2 linked regions of the Elephas maximus indicus genome follow. The protein of the gene in region 1 interacts with the protein of each later gene in a pairwise test. Links are inferred from orthologs where the notes say so. Each region holds a gene or a part of one and is shown in the gene's direction. Other genes may lie near its edges. The genes, in order: GAD1 and HAAO.

Region 1 (11,224 bases):
TTTGTCTTCATGTTTGGAATAGCAAGAATCGGGGTCTTAAAGGTTTGCACAATATTTGCCCAAACGTAAATCACTGTCGTCTTTGATTAATTTCTTTAATATTAGAATATTTTCATCTTACGGACATCAAGGGAGAAGGGACCCTTTGACAATTATCTGAGGAATTTAACTATCTTCCCTTTGGGACATTGTTGTAATTTCCGGAGTCCTGTCTAGCGTTCTGGCTAGAACCCTGCCTCCCCTGTCACTCTTTTAACCCTTTCCTATGTCGCTGGAGTGAGTGTTGTGCGGTCTGTCAGACTGGGGGTGTTGATTAACTATCAATGAAGGTAAAAAATGATTTGGGAAACTATCTTTAAGGTACACGAACACATCGAATGAATATTAGCTCCCGCTTAAAAGCCGAATGTAAGGTTAAGCAACCCTTTCCCCAACCTTTGTATCGGGAGACCAAAAACCAAAACCAAACCCACTGCCATCGAGTCGATTCCGACTCATAGCGACCCTATAGGGCAGAGTAGAACTGCCCCATGGAGTTTCCAAGCAGCGCCTGTATCGGCAGACAGCCGTTTAAACGGTGAGCTCTGCCATTTTTTTTTCTTTTTTGATCATAGAGACTTAAAATAGACTTTAACGAGCCAGCTAAAACGAACCAACCCCGTAGGTCTAAATTACCTTTCCTGAATGCTAAAAATGCTAAATGCTCCAAAAAAAAAAAAAAAAAAGATTGACGTTTCTTATCTACTCACCTTGACGCGGACCATATTTTATACGTCAAAACCTCCCCCTCAGCCCGTTTGGGCGCCTCTTCCACGCCAACGCTCCTCCCAACCCCGTTTTTGCTTTGCGGGAAAGGCTTGGCCCCCCAATCCGGTTGGAGTATCTTTAAACCTCCTGGGGAAAGGGCATTCTAGGCGGAGGGTCGCGTTCTCAGGTCTCAGCCATCCTTGACCTAAGGGAAGGTTGTCCTTGGAGGACAGAATGGAGCCGCTGGAGCCGCGGGCTATCAAATCCCCAACGCCCGGGAGAGACTGGAAGGGTCGCAGAGCGCCCACTCCTTCTTCTGTCTCTGGTTCAGTGTTCCTATTTCTTCAAAGCACTAAACCTTAGATCAAATGGAAATGAAACAGCTGGGCGGATACCACTCCTTTCCGGCCCACACTTCACCTCCGGTTCCAGTCCCTGAAGAGGATTTCTTTTTTCCACCCCCATTATCCAAAACAACCTCCCCGCCTCCCCCGCAATAAAAGATAAAAAGAAAAATGAAAACACAAACAAAAAGACGGATTCCAAATGTTTTGAAGGGCCAAAAGACAACACGGCCACCCTTAGCCCAAATCCTAACCAGGGAGCGGAGGGGTAAAACACCGCACTCTCCAACCTAACAAAACAAACGCAGGATCTTCTGCCGGGAGGGAGGTAGACAGGAGCCCAGAGGGTTGGCAAAGAGCTACTGGCGGAAGCCAGCGAAACAGAGGGCTAGACTGAACCGAACAGCGGACGCTGTCCATGGTGCTGAATGAGCTGGGCCCGGCCTCAATGCTGAATAACTGGGATTGGATGGAATTCCAGGCCTCCGTCCCTTCCCATCCCCGCTGAGTCTGCGTTGAAAAAAAAAAGTGGGAGACAATTGAAAAGTAAATCAAAGCCATAATGTGCCAAGTCTGCCACTCTCCCTGCCTAATTGGAAAGTCAACGTCATGAGTTCAGAGAGCACTAGGGGCAATGTAAGCTCCACGAGAACAGTACCTGGCACATAAAAAACCCAAACCTGTTGCCATGAGTCAATTCCGACTCATAGCGACCCTATAGGACAGGGTAGAACTGCCCCATAGGGTTTCCAGGGAGCTGCTGGTGGATTCGAACTGCTGACCTTTTGGTTAGCAACCTAACTCTCAGCCACTAGCCACCAGGTCTGGCAGGTAGTAGGTGATTAATAAATCGTCGTTTAGCTAACTGATTACTAAGAAACATTTTTAAATTAACGACGAACTAGGGCCTTCATTGCTCCCTTCCCACCACAGCGGAGAAAGAGGGGGGCACTCACTTTTAATCTGTGATACCTACAGCCCTGGTGGCACAGTGGTTAAGAGCTACAGCGAGCTGCGGCTGCTAACCAAAAGGTTGGCAGTTAAAATCCACCTGCCGCTCCTTGGAAACCCTATGGGGCAGTTCTACTCTGTCCTATAGGGTCGCTATGAGTAGGAGTAGACTCGATGGCAACGGATATCTAGCCTTGTGGAAGACTCTCCCCTCGCCCCCCATGAGATTATTTTGCTGGCTAAAACGTTGGAAGTGAGCGTTTGTGACGCTGGGGTCAGAGGAGGAAGTAGTTGAAATGTTCTCAATCTGGTGCCACAGGTGAAGTAAACGAATCTTCCTTTCTGAGGAATCTCAGGACTTGGGAGAAGGTGAGGAGATGGAGGGCAAGCAAGCGTCTTCTAGGGAGAGTGGACACTGAGGGACACCGGGATTGTAGCCTCCTCCGGCCCGTCTCCTTGTCCCTCGCGTCTTGAATGATTTAGCATTGTCACAGGACTCCCTGATTTGTGATTTCTTTTAGGTAAAGCTTGAGAAAGGGTCTTAGGTGTAGGTGAAATTCGGCGCTTCGCTTGGTGGTTAATCGTGCATCTCAAACGACGTGGAGAACCTGGGCGGTTTAGGGGAACGTTTCCTGCACAGAGCGAGCACGCCCACCCTGCCCAGCCCGGAGCTCTGGCGCCCCGGCGGGCTGCGGTAACCCAGAGCCTGCGGTTCAGGATGCATTGGTGTCATTAAAAAGTGCCCGGGCTTTTCTTAAGAGGTGTAGAGAAGGTAACGGTATTTTCCTTAATATCAAGGGCAACGCGGTTATTTCAATCCTCACATTGAGCTCCCTCTTGGTGATCGGACTGTAACTCCTCAGGGCGGCATCTTCTATCTTCCTTAAGGAATTTTCGGTGATTTGTAAGACTTTCGGCGTTTCCACTGTGTCGTGGTGAAAGGCGATAAGTCATTCAAAGAGAAGGGACGGGCCAGCCGGGCCCCAGATGTACTATAAATAACCGCAGCCTGCTGCACCGCAAAGGGGAAAATCTGTGAAAACGAGGAAAGAGATAATTGGTTACATGGTCTCACCGCCCCGCCCCCCACCACCACTTTGTTTTGACCTAAAGGAAAGGAAACCGAGCGAGAGGAAAAGAGAGAACATATGCTAGTGAAGAGGGTAGCTGAGGGATGAGCGAGTTATAGAGCCCCGCCAGCCTCTCGAGGTGTTGGTTTGGGTGCCCAAGAAAAGACCAGGCGAGCAAAGGGCCTCTCGGTCTCTGGGCGCCTGGCGCCCTCTGGTGGGAAATTTTTCGATGAACGCCTTTTTGTTGCGAGGGGAATTTCCAAACACAACAATGCATTAAATATGTTTAAATATTGCAACAAGAGAATCCTAAAACGGCGTGAAATCGAAAGGAGAGTGAGGGGAGTGGGCCAAGGCGGGAGGGCAGTCCGCCCTCAGGCAGATCCCCGGCGTCACCTCTGTGCTCGGCTTTCTCTTGCATTAGGAGCGGCGCTCGTGCGTGTTATTAACCTTCAGACGTGATCAATCAGGAGGGCTCCTTTCCCCTACCACCAAGGTGGCCAGAGCTAGGAAGGGAACGCACACTGAATGGAAAAAGAGGCCGTTTCTCTGCCGGTGGCACCGGGTGGTTGTTCTCAGGTGAGGCGGCTCTACTTTCTAGAGACCCCAGGTGGTTGAGGAAACGGGGATGAGGAGATGAAGGTTCTCCTATGGTCTGAGCATTTCCCCCTCATCTCTGTCTCCTTTGGCTCTACAACAATTGTGGCTCAGCGGAGAGCCAGAAAGGACACGACCCAGGGCGCGTTTTCGCAGATCTGGGGGAAAGTGATTCAGGCAAACCCACTGCTCCGGTCTTCTGGGAGATATTGGGGGGCGGGGGGCGGGGAGAAGAAGCGCTCAGGGTGGCGGAATTCATAGGAATTATCTTTTCCCTCCTGTCACCCGACACCTTGCCTACTTAAAAAAAAAAAAAAAGAGCATGTTGAGTACGTACTGGATTACTCATAGGGCCTTTTTCCCCACCCCCCGGGGGGAAAACCGTGATCTGTATTTATAATCGCCCTATAAAGCTCCAGAGGCGGTCAGGCACCTGCAAAGTACCCCGCCGCTTTGCCGACAAGCGGCCCCCGCAAGCAGCTGCCTCGTGATTCCCCCGCGGAGCGGGTCCCCGCCTCCCCACTCCGCCCCCGCCTCCCCCGAAGCCAAGCAGCCGCCTCTCCGGATCTCTCTCTTCTCCTATTGAGGCTCGCGTGCGGGACAGAGCCAGCTAGAGGCAGGCGGCGGCTGGAGGTGACGCCGGGCAGATTACGCCTGGGGCAGGATCCGGCCAGGAGGTGTTGAGAGGTTTTCTGCGCGCTGCGCGGAAGAGCGTCGGGAGCGCCTGGCTGGTGGCAGCCGAGTCTAGGTGGGTAAGCGCGTCGCCGCCCGGACTTCCCCAGCTCCCAGCCTCTGCCATTCGGCTGGGACTTTTTCGCCTGTAGATTCTCGGTCACCCATCCCTATTCCCTAGCGAGGGGAATGCGTCCCGCCCGCCCCAGCCCAGGCTCTCGGTTGGTGCCGGGCTCAGAGACCTCCGCCCCCCGCACTCTTCCTACCCCCGCCCTAGGCAGGATTCACGCCTCGTGCTGACGTAGGGCTAGAGAGATTTTTCCCTGCTTCTCGCGGCTGAGAATGCCGGTGTCGGCAAGGGGCAGCACGCAGCAGCAACACAAGGTGCGTCTCGGAGTGGTAACCTGTTACTTCCCCAGCAGCCGCGATCTGCCAGCAGCCCGGCGTTACTGTAAGCTCTGTACGAGTGCGCGCGCGGGGCTAAGCGTGGGGTCCTGGGCTAGTGGAGGTGGCGGCCCGCCCACGCTCCTCTGCAAGGTCTTAGGTCTACCCAGATTCGCCTGCACTCTCTCTGTCCCGGGGCTTTCGAACGCCATCGCGCCAACGCCGCGCGCCCAAGTGTCGCGCCGCGCACAGTTCTTTTCTTGTCTGCCGCCTCCTGCGCGCTGGGTGCAAGTTCGTTTCTCTGGTAATTCTTCCCTTTTTTGCCTCTTCCACCCCCTTGGGTCTGTATGGCGAGAAATGTGGGGTTCTCGGGGAGCTGGGTGCAGGGGAAAACACTGAAATCAGAGCTGTACCTCGCCCTAGGCTTCCAGATGGCTCAAAGAGGGGTGGGACGAGAGCGAGACGAAGGAGGTTCCGACCCGCTGCTTTCTGGCTGTCTGGAGTGCAGGGTGACCGTGGTTCTTCCCCAGCCAAGTCCAAGAGAGAATGTAAAGGAATCGGCCTTTTTTTCCCCCTCTCACTTGGCCTCACCAAGGTCCCCGGTCCCCGGAGCAGATAGCATCCTTCTTTCCAGGGAATTAGCCAGACACAACAACGGGAACCAGACACCGAACCAGACGTGCCCGCCCTGTGCGCGCTCCCCCCGCCTGCCTGCCAGCCCGCCCGCAGCTGAAAGCCCAATGGGGCTTGTCGAGGCTCGGCTCGAAAAATCGCACACTATCCTCCTTTGCCATCCTAGCCCGGTCCCCCGTACCCACGCGACGCTCACAGGCCTTGGGCCCCCTCGTCTCAGCACTGCGCTCCAGGTCTTCCCGCTGCGCGGGACTGGAGAGCCGCCCGGGGCTGCGTTGCCAGCGCCCCAGTCTCCGATCTCGCACGCAAGTCTTCTCCTCCCTCCGGCCCACCCCAGCCCAGCGCACTCGCTGCCTTTCCTCCCTCCTTTCTCTTGTGCTTGGGGACTCCAGCCCGAGCGTCCGTGTCCCCAGCGGCTCAGCTATCTTTCGCGCGCGAATCCCCAAAGCCCTCCACGCACAGCTCTCGTTTCTCTTTGCAGCCTTTTTCTGCGCCCAACCCACCGAGGATTCCGGACAGCAGAGGCCTCGCGACGAACTAGCTGATGGCGTCTTCGACCCCTTCCTCATCCGCCGCCGCCTCGAACGCGGGAGCGGACCCCAATACTAGCAACCTGCGCCCCACAAGTAGGTCCCGCCCTAGTTTCCGGTCAAATGGACTGCGGGAAAGATGAAGGCACTGGGAGTTGGGGAGGCTGCGTTGGCAGAAAGAGGAGGAGCGCGGAGATGATGGAGGCCGGGAAATAAATAGGGCTCTGACCCGGGGCCCGGCCAGAGGTCACTCGGCTGCCGGAGACGCTGGGCGGCTCCCTGGGCGCCCGAGAGCGATAGACGTGCAAGGTCGCTGCACTGGCGATGGTTGGGGGCTCCACTGCGAGGGAAGGACCTGAGGCGTGAGTGTTGTTTTTGTTGTACTGTGTGTGGTTTCCTTGCGCTGCGGGACAACGAGGGTCAGGGCAGGGGGAGGTGTGAGAAGCTGAGAGCCCCAACCGGGATAAAAAATTTTCTCTCTCGGGCTTTCGCTGGGTCTAGATCTGACCTCCTCCCTTCTCCCAGCGCTGTGCTCACAGTCTATAATCAGCGGAAATGTCGACGTTAATTGCAGCTTTTAGAAAACTCAGAGTCCCTAATTGCTCCAAATTTGCGTTGAGCTATTGACGAGTGAGGGAGAAGCCAGGGGCGGGAAAGGTGCATAAAACGGCTGGAGGCTGAGCCTCGACATTTCAGACAATTAATTACATCTCAGAGACAAAAAAAAAAAAAAAAAGTGGGCAGCATACTGAGTGGCGAGGAAGGGGGGACGGGAGGAACAGGAAGGTTTGCTAGGGCGGGCGGAGAGAACTCCCCTCTCCTTTCTCCGGTGTAGGAGACCTGTCAGCAGGAGACACGCCCGGAAGTTGGAGGAAGAGGAAGGGGGGATTTTCGCTGCCCTACCTCTAGCTGAGCTCGTTCTTCAGCCGGTTTCCAGAATGTGTCTTTAATTGATTGATTCCCTACCTCTCTTTAGAGGCCTGGGGATAAGAGGATTGCTTTTCTTTTTCTATGTTAAATTAAAATGTCTTCACACACACACACAAATCTATCAGCTGCAGACCGTAAGGGCCTCAGAATTTTTTTATAGAAAGGGTTTAGGAACAAGCTTGTGGTTTAGAAGGAGCTTATTGCTGTGCTTTTATGTCGCTTCCTATAAACTTGAGAAAATGTCAGTTTTCATAATCAACAAAGGGAGGGGGCTGTTAGCGGTAAGCCCCCTCTCCAGCTCCTTGGCGCAGTCACTGGCTCCCAGGCATAAGGCCTTGTCTTAAGTCCTCAGGCTGCGTTCCAGTTCCCTTTGAGACTGCCTCCCCCTCCCTCAGCCCATAACCCCCAGGCAGGCTAAAATTACCCACACAACAAAGAGGGGCTCCGGAGCGCCCCCAGGCTTGGTGGCACCGGAGGCAGAGCTGGACCGAACAGCCCCAGAAGAACGAGAGGCTTGTGTGCCTTTTGTCTGTCCTCCTCTTTTCCTGTCCTCCCTGCATTTCCCACCCCATTTTTTGCTGCCCGGCAGGGCTTGGCGGCTGCTGCTTTCATCCTTCCTACTAGAGTCATTTCTCCCTTGGTCGTGCGCTCCCACTTCTCGGCGCCCGCCGGCCGCGGCATGTAAATGCCCGGCCTAGGGTTAAGACCCAACAGAGGCACTGACCCTAGTCGGCACGCGGCCAGGGGCGCCTCGGAACCGCCGAGGCGGAGGGAAGAGAGCCGAGGTCCGGCCAGAGAAGAGCAGGCAGCAACCGCCCCCTAATAGCCCACCCCTAGTCGCACAGTAGAATGCAAGCGTATGTCCTGCTCTTCTCCCGCTCCGGCCCTCCCTGCAGACTTACCTTCGCCCGCCTAGCGGTCTCCGCTTCTCTGCCTCTCTCAGGTCTCCTGGGAGGTGGCTTTGCTCAGCCCGCACGACCTTATTGGCCTTTTGCTCCAGCGATCATCTGGTTCCGGGACGGAGTCCTCCTTGACCTCGGCCCCTCGGTCTTCCGGACTGTCGCTACACCACGGAAGCTCTCTAGCTCCCTCTGCTCGTCCCCCTTTTTCTCTTGCTGAAGCCCCCAATTCTGAAAGGCAGTGCAATGTGTCTGAACTCCAGCCTCCCAGCTGGGTGACCTTGGAAAACTTACTTGCCCTCTCTGAGCCTTAATGTTATTTGCAAAATAGGTCTTAGATTAACACTCCTCCTACCTGTTTCATAGGGTCGTTAAGAGGGTTAGATGAAGTAGTGTTTATCTGGTGGAAATAGTTCAATACCCGCCAGGTATTAATATTAGGGTTTTGCTTTCGCACCGATTTCCTGTCTGTCGTGGAACCCCATCTGTGACATGCTGTCTTACCGACGTCGGGCTATTTCCTCTCCCCGCTGTGTCTCTGTTGTGCCTGGGATTTAATGGATGTCACTCTCCTTATCACAGTTAACACTCGCGCTGAGCTAGAGGCGCGGGCCGGGGTGGGGGTGGGGATGGGAGTGATTGGAGGCGTTATGAAGTATTGGAAGGGGATTTCGCTCAGGGCCCACCACACGGACCCAGACGGCGACGCAGGCCGTACAGGCATGGGGCTGCTTTCCTTGCTCATTGCTGCAAGCTGAACCCGAAGGCAGGTAGACCCTGAGAACAGCTAATCCGGTCGCCCTTGGGGCCACGGCTCGGCCCTAGAGGAAAATTCCTGCTTTTCTTCGCTTTTGCCTGCTCCGGGCCTGAAATGCTCGAGACTCAGGTCTGGGGCACAGATGCCGGAAGGGTTAATGAGGGGCAGGTTGGGAAGGGAGGTCAGGGATGAGGACCGGAGGCGCACTGATGTCTTCCCGACTCCTGGTCCGACTGAAGGGCAGTCATGCGAGCCCGATTATCTAGTCAAATACTGTTTTTCACCCAATTAATTCTTGAACTCTTCGGCGACCCCATTTCATGCCAGTTTATTTTAAGCTGCCACTCGGCTGGAGACCCGCCAAGAAATTATGAGACGTTTCGGTCCCAGATGCCTCGGTGTTCCCTTTCTGGGCTGCTGTGGTCGTCCTTGGAGTCTGAGGGGCAGAGACCAGGGGGCAGGGCCTGGCGGGTTGGGGTTGTGGACCACGAGGCTTGGCGGTTTCCGAGCGGAGTCGGCTCCGCCCCTCCCGACCCCGCCTCCCTGACTCCCCCCGGGGTACCTTGGGGTCTGGCAGGGGCGCTGGATGTGCCGCCTCGCAGAAACACTGTCGGTACCTGAAGGCGGGAGGAGGAAGGGGGTGTGATGAGGGCTCGTAGGGCACGCGTCTGCTCGTCTGCCACAAATCTTATCTGCTCCTTTCAGGAAGGACCTTCTAATAAGGGACAGTGGAAAGGAATCCCCGCCCCCCGAGAAAACCTTTGCCCTTGACCCTGTCCCCCATAGTCCGAGCTGCACTGACCGCACCTCTCTCGCTCTCTCTCGTCTTAGCGTATGACACCTGGTGCGGCGTGGCCCATGGATGCACCAGAAAACTGGGGCTCAAGATCTGCGGTAAGTGAAAGGGCCAGCGGGGGCTGGAGGGACGCGCAGGCCTTGTCTGTGTGGAGAGTAGAACGCATGTGGAGGGGGATCTCGGCTCTTGGGTCTGGTTTTCTAAGGTACCTGCAGACCCCACGCCCGACGGAGACGCTCCCACAAGGCCCTGAACCACCTCCGCCCTCCCAAGGCCTTTTCCCCTGGAGCCCAGACCACGTGAGACCCAGTTGAGGGACCACCGGGTGTCAGATCTGGGCACAAAAGCGCGAGGGCAGTGCCCCCGCGCGGTAGCCCAGCTCTCCCTGCCAGTGCCTGGGCCACCCTGGCAGGTGCGCTCGGTCCGCGTCTCCAAGGCTAAATAGAAAACGTGAACTGCTCTGGCTTTCCTGGCGAGCAGGCCAAAGGCGCATTATCTGCCTAAACCGGTTAGTGACCCGTCGCCCCATTCTCTCCTCCGCCAATTCCACCTCCCTTCGGTCCCCTGTCTGGGCGCATTGAAAGTGGCCTTCCGGACTTGAGGTTTTTGCCCCGAGATGCTGTAACGGATTCAGGTTTCGTTTTGGGGGCCTCCGAGGCAAAGGGAAAAGATAGCCTGCAGTCCTCAGTGGCCTTTTTGGGGGAGGTGGCGGCGGTCAAAGCCCGAGGGTTTGCCAGGCGTGCCCTCGCTGGCGAAGAGAGAAGGGAAAGAGCGCAGGCGGGGACGTGGGGCCGCGGGTCAGGCACGATTTGCCAAGAAGGAAGGAAAATAGATCTGCAGAGCTGGAAAGAAAAAAAACCTCCTGTCCGGAGAAGTGAGGGGCTGAAATGAATATGCTCCGGGGATTTTTTTTTTTTTTTTTAAAGGAAAAGAGGTTTATTGGAAGAGACACAGATGAGTGGCTCTGGCTGAACAATGAGGACTTGCTTTCTTTGCTACATTTCACCGTCTAAAATTCTCTAGCCTTATCGGGCCAGAAAATACGGCTGCCCCTGGGCAAGGGGTGGAGAGGCGGGGGAAGATTAACGAGGGGCTTATTAAGGACCCATCCGTCAGCTGCTGCGCGCGAGAGATAGTGGCGGAGCAGGCGCCGGGCAAGCACCCAGGGGCTCCATCGGCGGAGCTCTTGCCCCAGCCCCTGGCGCGCCTGCGAATCGGTCGGTGAGTGGGTGTTCTCTAGGCCTGAGCTTCCCGGCTTCCCGGGGCCTGTCCCGGGCCGCGAAGGTGGCGGCAGAATGAGGCCCGAAGAGAGAGGGGTTATTGAGCAGCCCCCTGGAATCATCCCTCTGGCCCACTTTTCTGAGTTTCTGTGGCCCTGTCCCCCTGATCCCGGAACCAGCGTTTACGTTGAGGAGGGGGAGCTCAACCCTCAGACCAAGCGATGTTTCAGGGAAAATCCCAGCCTCGCCGCGGGGCGGCCCCGGGGTTTGGCCCTAGCTCCAGCTTGGGTGGCCCACGGGGCAAAGCCGGGGCCACGTCCGCGCAGGGGCAGCTGGCTGCGGCCTAGCTTTGTTCTATAAATAGTCCACTCCCCCAGCCGCCATTCCCGGCTTAATGGCCCGTTTCGCGCCAGGTCTCTTCGGCGGCCGCCGTGCTCGGCTCCTGCAGCCGGCATTGTCATGCAGCCGGGCAAGCAGAACTGAGCCCTGGGCGCCCGCCGCGGCTGAGGACCGGGTGGCAGGGGGCGGCTGTTATGGAGGCTCAGCTCCGGGCGAGGGCTGCTTTCCCTCCTGCGAGGAGAGGGGCGAGAGGTGCGGTGCCAGGCTTGCCTCGAGGGGGCGGCCCTCATCCATCTCCGCCTCCTGGCCTCGGGACGGGTTCTGCGTCTTGCTGCCGGGCTACAGGCCCTCCGGG
Region 2 (11,470 bases), on another chromosome or scaffold:
AGAATTTGGGGTCTGCATCCCACTGCTCTCCTGCTCCCTCAGGGGTTCTCTGTTGTGTTCCCTGTCAGGGCAGTCATCGGTTATAGCTGGGCACCATCTAGCTTTTCTGGTCTCAGGCTGATGTAGCCTCTGGTTTATGTGGCCCTTTCTGTCTCTTGGGCTCATAATTATGTTGTGTCCTTGGTGTTCTTCATTCTCCTTTGTTCCAGGTGGGTTGAGACCAATTGATGCATCTTAGATGGCCGCATGCTAGCGTTTAAGACTCCAGATGCCACTCTTCAAAGTGGGTTGCAGAATGTTTTCTTAATAGATTTTATTATGCCAATTGACTTAGATGTCCCCTGAAACCATGGTCCCCAAACCCCCACCCCTCCTATGCTGGCCTTCGAAGCATTCAGTTTATTCAGGAAACTTCTTTGCTTTTGGCTTCAAATAGATTTTATGTATATACACGCACCCGTTGCCATCGATTTGATTCCAACTCATAGTGATCCTATAGAACAGAGTAGAACTGCCCCATAGAGTTTCCAAGGAGCACCTGGTGGATTCGAACTGCTGACATTTTGGTTGGCAGATGTAGTTCTTAACCACTACGCCACCAGGGTTTCCTATAAAAAAATTATATATATATATTTACAGAATTTCTGGCTACTGTCAGTGGGAGATCCTTCTTTGTTTCCAACTTTCGTGTTAAAATCACCAGTAATTATCAATGCATCTTGATTGCATGTTCGATCAATTTCAGACTGCAGCAGCTGATAAAAATCTTCTGTTTCTTCATCTTTGTCCCTAGTGGTTGATGTGTAAATTTGAATAATAGTCGTATTAACTGGTCTTCCTTGTAGGAGTATAGATATTATCCTATCACTGACAGCATTGTACTTCAGGATAGATCTTGAAATGTTCTTTTTGACGATGAATACACCACCATTCCTCTTCAAGTTGTCATTCCCAGCATAGTAGACTAAAAGATTGCCTGATTCAAAATGGCCAATACCAGTCCATTTCAGTTCACTGATGCCTAGGATATCGATGTTTATGCATTCCATTTCATTTTTGATGATTTCTAATTTTCCTAGACTCATACTTCGTACATTCCAGGTTCTGATTATTAATGGATGTTTGCAGCTGTTTCTTCTCATTTTGAGTCATGCCACATCAGCAAATGAAGGTCCCGAAAGCTTTACTCCATCCACGTCATTAAGATTGACTCTACTTTGAGGAGGCAGCTCTTCCCAAGTCATCTTTTGAGTGCCTTCCAACCTGGGGGGCTCATCTTCCAGCACTATATCAGACAGTGTTCCGTTGCTATTCATAAGGTTTTCACTGGCTAATACTTCTCAGAAGTAGACTGCCAGGTCCTTCTTCCTAGTCTGTCTTAGTCTGGAAGCTCAGCTGAAACCTGTCCTCCATGGGTGACCCTGCTGGTATCTGAATACCAGTGGCATAGCTTGAGCATCACAGCAACATGCAAGCCCCCACAGTACGACAAACTGACAGACATGTGGGGCAACTATACACATGGACCTCGCCAGATAGAGCACACAGAAATCAAATTGACTACATTTGTGGAAAGAGACAATGGAAAAGCTCAATATCATCAGTCAGAACAAGGCCAGGGGCCGACCTGGAACAGACCATCAGTTGTTCATGTGCAAGTTCAAGCTGAAACTGAAGAAAATCAGAGCAAGTCTATAAGAGCCAAAATATGACCTTGAGTATATCCCACCTGAATTTAGAGACCATCTGAAGAATAGGTTTGACGCATTGAACACTGGTGACCAAAGACCAGAAGAGTTGTGGAATGACATCAAGGACATCATCCATGAAGAAAGCAAGAGGTCATTGAAAAGACAGGAAAGAAAGAAAAGACCCAGATGGATGTCGGAGGAGGCTCTGAAACTTGCTCTCAAACATCGAGCACCTAAAGCAAAAGGAAGAATTGATGAAGAAGAACCAAACAGAAGATTTCAAAGGGCGGCTCGAGAAGACAAAGTATTATAATGACATGTGCAAAGAGCTGGAAATGGAAAACCAAAAGGGAAGAACACACTCGATGTTTCTCAAGCTGAAAGAACTGAAGAAAAAATTTAAGCCTCGAGTTGCAATAGTGAACGATTCTATGGGGAAAATATTAAATGATGCAGGAAGCATCAAAAGAAGATGGAAGGGATACACAGAGTTATTATACCAAAAAGAATTAGTCAATGTTCAATCATTTCAAGAGGTGGCATATGATCAGGAACCGATGGTACTGAAGGAAGAAGCCCAAGCTGCTCTGAAGGCATTGGCAAAAAAACAAGGCTCCAGGAATTGATGGAATATCATTTGAGATGTTTCAACAAACGGATGCAGCACTGGAGGTGCTCACTCGTCTATGCCAAGAAATATGGAAGACAGCTTCCTGGCCAACTGACTGGAAGAGATCTGTATTTATGCCTATTCCCAAGAAAGGTGATCCAACCGAATGTGGAAATTATAGAACAATATCATTAATATCACACGCAAGCAAAATTTTGCTGAAGAGCATTCAAAAACGGCTGCAGCAGTATATCGACAGGGAACTGCCAGAAATTCAGGCCGGTTTCAGAAGAGGACGCGGAACCACAGATATCATTGCTGATGTCAGATGGATCCTGGCTGAAAGCAGAGAATACCAGAAGGATGTTTACCTGTGTTTTATTGACTATGCAAAGGCATTCTACTGTGTGGATCCTAACAAATTATGGACAACATTGTGAAGAATGGGAATTCCAGAACACTTAATTGTGCTCATATGGAACCTTTACATAGGTCAAGAAGCAGTTGTTCGGACAGAACAAGGGGATACCGATTGGTTTAAAGTCAGGAGAGGTGTGTGCCAGGGTTGTATTTTTTCACCATACCTATTCAATCTGTATGCTGAACAAATAACCCGAGAAGCTGGACTGACTACATGAAGAAGAACAGGGCATCAGGATTGGAGGAAGACTCATTAACAACCGGCTTTATGCAGATGATACAGCCTTGCTTGCTGAAAGTGAAGAGCACTTGAAGCACTTACTAATGAAAATCAAAGACCAAAGCCTTCAGTATGGATTGCACCTCAACATAAAGAAAACAAAAATCCTCACAACTGGACCAATGAGCAACATCATGATAAATGGAGAAAAGATTGAAGTTGTCAAGGATTTCATTTTACTTAGATCCACAATCAACAGCCATGGAAGCAGCAGTCAAGAAATCAAAAGACACATTGCATTGGATAAATCTGCTGCAAAGGGTCTTTTTAAAGTGTTGAAGAGCAAAGATGTCACCCTGAAGACTAAGGTGTGCCTGACCCAAGCCATGGTATTTTCAGTCACATCATATGCATGTGAAAGCTGGACAATGAATAAGAAAGACTGAAGAAGAATCGATGCCTTTGAATTGTGGTCCTGGCGAAGAATATTGAATATACGAGGGACTGTCAGAAGAACGAATAAATCTGTCTTGGAAGAAGTATAACCAGAATGCTCCTTAGAAGCAAGGATGGCGAGACTGCGTCTTACATACTTTGGACATGTTGTGAGGAGGGATCAATCTCTGGGGAAGGACATCATGCTCGGCAGAGTACAGGGTCAGCAGAAAAGAGGAAGACCCTCAACGAGGTGGATTGACACAGTGGCTGCAACAATGAGCTCAAGCATAACAACGATTGTGAGGATGGCGCAGGACCGGGCAGTGTTTCTTTCTGTTGTGCGTAGGATCACTATGAGTCGGAACTGACTGGACGGCACCTAACAACAACAAGAGAAATCAGTGGGAGGATTAGTTTGATAAAGCTGGTACGTCAATAGCTTGTGTGACCATGTAATTTATCCTCCAAGCAGGGCAATTTCTGAGAGCAAAAGGACGCACTATTAATAATACTGGATCAATAGGGTGCAAATTGTTGACTGTCCCAGACAATCTGGAACATATGGTCATCCCAATCATAGCTCCCTTTTGTACTGCTATGAATACATAAAACATAAGCAGGGAAACATCCTTGTAAAATTTTTCTAATTGTAGGAATATAAATGGGATGTGTGCCAGATATCAATTTTATTGCTTTTCTGCTCCAAATATGCCCTTCTTTGCACTGCTTTGTGATACTAGAGCTGGACCCTGAAAATGTTTCTGCTCTGCCAGCTGGTGCCAGTGGTAGACCTTGTCAGTAGAAGGTGCTAGAGGGCCACCCAAAGCTAAGGGAGCAGAGTTGCCCTCTCACTGGGCCTGTAAGGTGGAGCTGAAGCCCAGGGCCGAGGGTCCTCCATTCAGAATGTAGACAGTTTGGGCAACACCCTGAGTCTGAAGTTTGGGGCCATTGCCCAGATGGTCCCAGAGAACAGAGGATTATTTTCAAGCCTTGAGAGCCAATGTAATTGGTTTTGTTGGGTTTGGGGCTTTTTTATTGCCCATCGCTTCTTTTCCTCTCATTTCTCCCATTTGTAATGGAACTAAATGTCTATCTTGTGCCTGTTCTACCACTGTATTTTGGAAACAGATAATTTGTATTCTAGATTTCACAGGTTCACAGATGAAGAGGGATTTTGCCCCGGGATGGAATATGCCTTAAGTCTTACCCATTTAGATGGTTCAGAAGATGAGATTTGGGTCTTAGAGTTCATTTAAGACTTTTGGGATGATATGATGGAGTGAATGTGTTTTGCATGTGGGAAGGACGTGAATTTTAGGAAGCTAAAGGGGGAGGGTAAGGGAGGAATGTTACGAATTGAATTGTTTCTCCAAAAATATGTGTTGTAAATCCTAACCCCTATACCTGTGGTTGGAGCCCTGGTGGCTCAGTAGTTAAGAGTTCAGTTGCTAACCAAAAAGGTTGGCAGTTCGAATTTACCAGTTGTTGGATTGAAACCACTTGGAAACCCTATGGAGCAGTTCTACTCTCAGGTCGCTGAGTCGGAATCCACTCGACAGCCATGGGTTACACCTGTGGTTATAATTCTGTTTGGGAATAGGATTTTCCTTGTTATGTTAATGAGGTAGTATTAGTGTAGAGTGTGTCTTAAATCAACCTCTTTTGAGACATAAAAGAACAGATTAAACAAGCAAGCAAACACAGAGGGGAAGGTACACACCACTTGTTGGCAGAGGAACCTAAGAATAGGAGCTGAAAAGAAACAAGGACCTTCCCTCAGAGCAGACAGTGAGAGAGTGAGCCTTCCCCTAGAACTGGCACCTTGAATTCGGACTTCTAGCCTCCTAAACAGTGAGAAAATATCTGTTCATTAAAGCCAGCCATTTGTGATATTTCTGCTATAGAAGCACTAGATAACTAAGACAAATACCCTACATAAGCAAACTATATAAGCAGAGAATATTCTTTTCATAAAAACCTGAAACATTCATAAAAATTGACCATAACACTAAGCTGCAAAGAAGATCTTAGTATATTTCTCCACCCAAAAAGTAATATATAGGCCATCTTCATTCACCACAATGGCAATAAAATTTGAAATGAAAGACAAAATGGTAACAGAAAAAAAAAAAAAAACCCATACATCTAGAATTTTTTAAACAGCTTTCTTCTGAATGATGCCAAAACACCTAGATAAAACGGGGACTGTCAGTTTTCTGAACGTTGCATTTGAATGGTTCCCAGCACTCAAACTAGGTGGCTTGCCAGTTGAGTAGATACAGGGTTTTGTCTACACAGCACAAGCCAGAGGGCATATTTGACACTGATAGTAGTTTAAACTGTGTAGAAGGTTAATTTGGATTATTCAGACCCCTGCCCCCCCAATTCCACTGTGGACTCAATTATTTACAATATTTTACTACATCGATTAAAATACAGGCTAACTATCAATTCTTTCCTTTGTACTACGTAACTGAACATCTGTTGGGCTGAAATCAAATTTTCCCCCTTTTAGTGTGAATTCATTCATGCCTTCATCCACCCACTCACCCATCCATCCACTTAACGAGCATCCAAACCAACATAACACCTCATAGATCCTCGGTGTTTTGTGTGTCATTGTTTACATCGCCTCTGATTCCTGGTAGATGAGAAAGATGAAGAATGTGGCTGGGGTTAACTCTGCTGCCAAACAATATTCTAGAAAGAAATACACCAACTAAAATGTTCTAGATAAATAAGGAAAAAGAAAAAGGGAGAGAAGAGGAAACAGACACGGGGGTCCCCCGAGGAGGTGGGAGGAATCCTGTTTGGCATCTGTTTGGGTTTTCTCTTCCACCAGGGGAGTCTATGTCTGAGGGTGCTCTCAAAACCAGCCCACCCCAGGCAGCACAGAGGAGGCAAGGTGGGCTGAGAGAGCAAGCGTTGGGGGGAGTTTAAAATGCCTTAAACTCTATATAGTCTGGACCCTGCGGTCTGGGTCCTGAGCTATTTTCCTTCTTCCCCACCCACCAGCTCCCCACTCCATCCCTCTCTAACATACAAACGCAATTTTCCTAAGAATCTGAAGTCCTGAAGAAAGGGGAGAAGGGCATATTATCTTTCGCCTTCCTCCACACCCCCCGCCCGTTTCCTCCACAGCACACCCACACACCCACACCCACACCCCCAGATCTCTCCCTCCCCCAGGATAACGGCGTTAGGGTTCCCCACTCGGGACTGGAATCATCTTCACAGGTTCGTCTGCCACCTCCCCTCCCCCCCCAGCACTTACACACACACTCGGAGATTCCTGAGGGTGAGGACACAGAGTGGCCCGTTTCTTCGTCTGTAAGATACGGCGGCGACCCCTCCCTCCTAGGATTGTTTTGTGTTTTGTAAGGGGCTCAGCGCCGGGCACAGCGTGCGTGCTCACTACCAGGCCAGCCGAGAAGACTGCGCCCTCCAGCCCGGAGCCGCGGTGCCCGCGCTGCGCCCTGGGCGCCCGCGGCCGACCCCCGCAGCCCGGCGCCCCAGACTCCCGCAGCCGGGCTCCCGCCAGCCTCTCCTGGCGTCCCGAAGGCAGAGCAGAGCGCGAGGCACTCAATAAATCCGGACTCTGGTCTGACCTCCCTCCCCGGGAGAGGAAAACCCAAACCAAACCCGAACCCGGTGCCGCCCAGTACATTCTGACTCAGTCGACACTACAGGACAGAGCGGAACTGCCCCATAGGGTTTTCAGGGAGCGGCCGGTGGTTTAAACTACTGACCTTTTGGTTACCAGCCGAACTTTTTGACCACTGAGCCACCAGGGCACTGACTGGGGACTGTGGCCACCCTTTGCATTCTCTTTCCACTCCATGCGCGCTACTATCCTATGAGATGGTTGTGCAGCCATTCCCATTTTTCAGATGGGAAAACTGAAGCTTAAACCCAGTGCAAACACACAGGTACTCAGGCGCTCCCCATCACAGTGTTTTTGCGGGGCCTCTCTGGAGCCCAGATGGAAAATCTGGAGATAAGCGACCAGGAAGGGTATCGAGCCCGTGTCTTGCGCCTGATATCAGGCTCCTAACTCGCGCACGGGTGTGGGGGCGCCCCCAGGATGTGAGGCGGGGTCTGGGAGGGGTCCGCCCGGGAGCGGAGCCCCAGTCAGCGGAGAAGTAGGGGGCGAAGGGCGTGCCTCTGCGTGAAGCGGGACCCCTACACGCTCCGGACCCTGCCCGCCGGCTCCCCACCGGCGCTGAGTCCCCAGTGCTCAGCAAGGACAAGGCCTCAGGGCAGCGCCGAGGGTAGGGGTGCTTCAGGCCAAAGGCGGGACCCTAGCCCTCGGCATCGCGGTGTCTTGCGGGGGAGTGCTTCGCCCTTTGACCCTGGAGATACTGATTAACCGGGCGGCCAATAGGCGGCTGGGTGGCGCAGCGCTCCTCCGTCGGCCTGGGAGGACACTGCTCTGAGAAGACCGTGGTTCCCGGGGAGGCCATGGAGCGTCCCGTGAGAGTGAAGACTTGGGTGGAAGAGAACCGGGCGTCCTTCCTGCCCCCAGTCTGCAACAAGCTCCTGTGAGTCCCAGGCACCCTACACCCCTACTTCCACCCTTGTGTTCTCCCTCCTTCTCTGTCTGCACCCTGACCCCTCACCCGAAGCCTGCAGGAAGGGGGCTGTCATTCTCAGGGTGCCTTCAGGGAGTGAGGACGCGCTGTTCCGGGTCCCACCACCCTCCATCTGTTCCTCTTTCTGGTGACTCTGCATAGTTTTGGTAAGAACTGTGACCTGTCCTCTGCGGATGGCTGGAGTAGTCCCACCTCCTCCCCTTAGGGCTGAGGAACAGCTGTCCAACCGTAAGTGACCCCCCAGCACTTAGAGAAAACTGGAAAGTTTGAGGAGGGTGATTTTCCAAACCAAACCAAACTAGTTGCCCACCAGTCAATTCCGATTTATAGCGACCCTATAGGACAGGTGGTTTATAGGACAGAGTAGAACTGCCCCACAGGGTTTCCAAGGCTGTAATCTTTACCAAAAGCAGCCCGGGTAGCACAGTGGTTAAAGGGTTCAGCTGCTAACTGAAAGCTTGGTGGTTCGAACCCATCAGCCTCTCTGAGGGAGAAAGATGTAACAGTCTGCTTCCATAAAGATTTACAGCCTTGGAAACCCTATGGGGCAGTTCTACCCTGTCCTATAGAGTGGCTATAAGTGGAAATCGACTCAACAGCAGTGGCTTTGGCGGTTAGTCTTCACTGAAGTAAACTGCCACATTATCCTCCCACGGAGTGGCTGGTGGGTGGGTTTGAATCGTTGACCCTTCGGTTAGCAGCAGAGTGCATAACCACTGTCCCACCACAGCTCCTCAAGGTGGTTTTAAATGACCCCAAGTTGCAGTAGTACCCAGGTCTGCACGCAAAGGGTGAAGTCAGAGGACCAGCTCTTTCCCCATACACACTCACACCAGGCCTCCCTAAAGCCACCTCTACCTGCAGCTCCTGACAGGGCTGACCTCAGTCTACCTTTCTCAGGCAGACCTCTTAGGCCCTCGCCTGTATCCATCTCCTCCCTCTTCTTCCCACAATTCCCTGGGGGGCCTGGTGAGCTCTCAGCTCATGTTCACGTGCCTGCAGGATAGCTCAAACCTCAAACAGTACAGTTAACAATTTCCACCCACATCTACAGGCCAGACTGTGCCAACTGTCTTTTCATCATCTTATGTAATTCTCATAGTAGCCCTATGAGGTGGGATTTTAATAAGTAACCTGCCCAGTGTCACAGAGGTAGGATGGGGCAAGTCCATGGAACACTTTGACTCTAAAGTCCACACTCTTGATCACTATGCAACATCACCATGGCTAATAGTCAACCTCTCCTCAACAACCTTGTCTCTTGTATCACTGCTGTCACCCCCAACTCAAAGCTTTATGGTTGTCTTTTTCTCTTTCCTCCACTCCTATCTCCCTCCACAGCCACGTGTTCTCAGTTCTCCACCTTCCCCCCTTGGGTGTATCTCACATTGGTCTGCTGTCCTCCAGCACTATGGTCACTGCCCTGGCTCCTCCCTCCAGCCAGGCAGTACTGACTGCCTCTACCCCCAGGACACTCTCCAGCCCTGCCCCAGTATTAAAAACCACAAAACCACAGGCCCCTCCCTTTACTCAGTGAACAGATATCTGCTGAGCACCTACTGTGGGCCAGCCACTGTTGTGGACACTGAGAATACAGCAGGGGACGAAACTGACAAAAATCCCTTCCTGAGGAAGCTGATGTTTAGTGGGAGGAGGCAGCTAATCAGTATAAACAAGTAAGGCAGGTGGATATGAGAGGCCTAGACATGGCAGGACCATAGATGTGGCAGGGCCCCAAAAGGCAGAGTAGAGACTGTGGCTTTCCTCTCAGCAAAATGAGAAGCTGCTGGAGGATCCAGAGCAGAGGACAGGCATGATCTGACTGGTGGTGGGTTGAAATAGTTCTTGAGTGGGCTTGTTCAAGAACTTTCTGTGTATTTCTAAATCATAGCTCAGTGAAGCTCATTTAAAAAAGAAGAAAGGAAGGAGGAAGGGAGAGAGGGAGGAAAGAAAAGAGAAATTTCCAAGCCTCCCTGGTATCTCTCAGATCAAAACCAAACTCAAGGCTGGAAGACTTGGTCCCACCTCCTGATCCAGCCTTCCCCGCCACTACTCCTCACATCATCAGGACCCAGCACCTTCACTGTGAGGGCATCTGTACCCAGTTTTCCCCTCCACTCCCTTCCCCAAATGCTTCCCAGCTTCTGTTCACTCCTCAAAGCCCCCCACAACTTTAAGCCCAGCTCAGGACCACTCCAGTCCAGCCTCCTCCTGCCAAGTGACCTCTGACCTTTCACATGTTGGGCATGACTCTAGGTGTGCATGTTTCTTGTTTATTGAGCCCTGTCTCCTGAAAGAGAAGGAAAAGCAAAGAATTTCCTGGCCCTGTGACCTTCTCTGAGCCCCTTTCAGCGTCTGTAAAATGAGAGGGTTGCACTAGGTTTATTTATTTTATCAAACACTTAAGTGGTGCTTACTCTGTGCTGGGCACTGTTCTGGGCGCTTAGAGATACGAATTCATGTAGCTCATATAAACTTCAGGAAGAACTCTCCATTTTACAGATGAGGAAACTGAGGCACAGCAAGGTTAAGTAATGTACCCAAGGTCCGTGGGAGAGCCAAATTTGATCCCAGGAGACTCATTCCAGAGCTGTGTGTTTTACCTACCGTACCACAACTCTGAGTCCATGGAGCCAGGCCTGGCGGGTTTTTGGAGAGTGGAGGTTCTCATAGTCAGACAGCTCTGGAGGATGAGAAAGGCCACTTCACCCTAGACGGCCCCCAGCTTGCTCTCCTGTAATTGGAGATCTTGAGCATAGTCCAGCAGCGGAGTACCCAGGTATGCCGTTAGTTTTAAATTGCTGAATGATCTCTCACAGCTGGTCAAGGAAGCCACCATGGCCAATAGAAACTGCTCATTGACGTCCTCTCCTCTCCCCCCAAGCGGCGCCCAGGGCATGCACCGTACCTGCCATACCCAAGATACGCCTCTGCCCAGGGATCCTGGTTGATGAAGAGAGAGCTCCCCACCAAGATGTTCCCCCTACTAGGTCAGAGGTCAGGGGCTGTGCTGACGATGTGGGACCTGAGATGCACACAGATGGACATACACAAAGACACAGACACGCACAAATACACTGAGACACACCCAGGCAGACACACACAGACATGCACACATAGATACACACAGAGCGACTCAGACACACACAGTCACAGACGAATGGACAGACAGACCTTAGATGCACACGGTCACACGCTGAGGATGGGAGCTGAGGAGGGACAAGCATGTTGGGAGACTAACAGGGACAGTGGTGCACACACAGCCCTGCTACCTTCCCCCAGGTGTCCCCCGGCTCCCTCCCTGCCCCCCACAGGCCTCTGCCCCGCTCCTGTCCTCACTCCCAGGAGCCACTTCAGGATCTCACCCCCCACCTCCATCCATTGCAGGCACCAGGAGCAGCTCAAAATCATGTTTGTCGGGGGCCCCAACACGAGGAAGGACTACCACATTGAGGAGGGTGAGGAGGTAGGTCTATGAACTGCCTCTCCCCTGACTTAA

Evidence for each region.
Region 2: the proteins of GAD1 (region 1) and HAAO interact in a two-hybrid assay, tested with the Homo sapiens proteins (4 studies listed by BioGRID and IntAct). The two-hybrid records come from large-scale screens. The link is inferred for Elephas maximus indicus from reciprocal best matches to the Homo sapiens genes GAD1 and HAAO.

Annotation. Positions count from the first base shown.
Region 1 is NC_064824.1:69,067,871-69,079,094, forward strand, and holds the start of GAD1 (glutamate decarboxylase 1), read left to right. Parts: upstream 1-5,920; 5' UTR 5,921-5,942; coding exon 5,943-6,024; intron 6,025-9,345; coding exon 9,346-9,408; intron 9,409-11,224.
Region 2 is NC_064844.1:19,957,797-19,969,266, forward strand, and holds the start of HAAO (3-hydroxyanthranilate 3,4-dioxygenase), read left to right. Parts: upstream 1-6,752; 5' UTR 6,753-7,840; coding exon 7,841-7,920; exon of another isoform or gene 7,921-8,199; intron 8,200-10,440; exon of another isoform or gene 10,441-10,961; intron 10,962-11,358; coding exon 11,359-11,437; intron 11,438-11,470. UniProt on the Homo sapiens protein: Catalyzes the oxidative ring opening of 3-hydroxyanthranilate to 2-amino-3-carboxymuconate semialdehyde, which spontaneously cyclizes to quinolinate.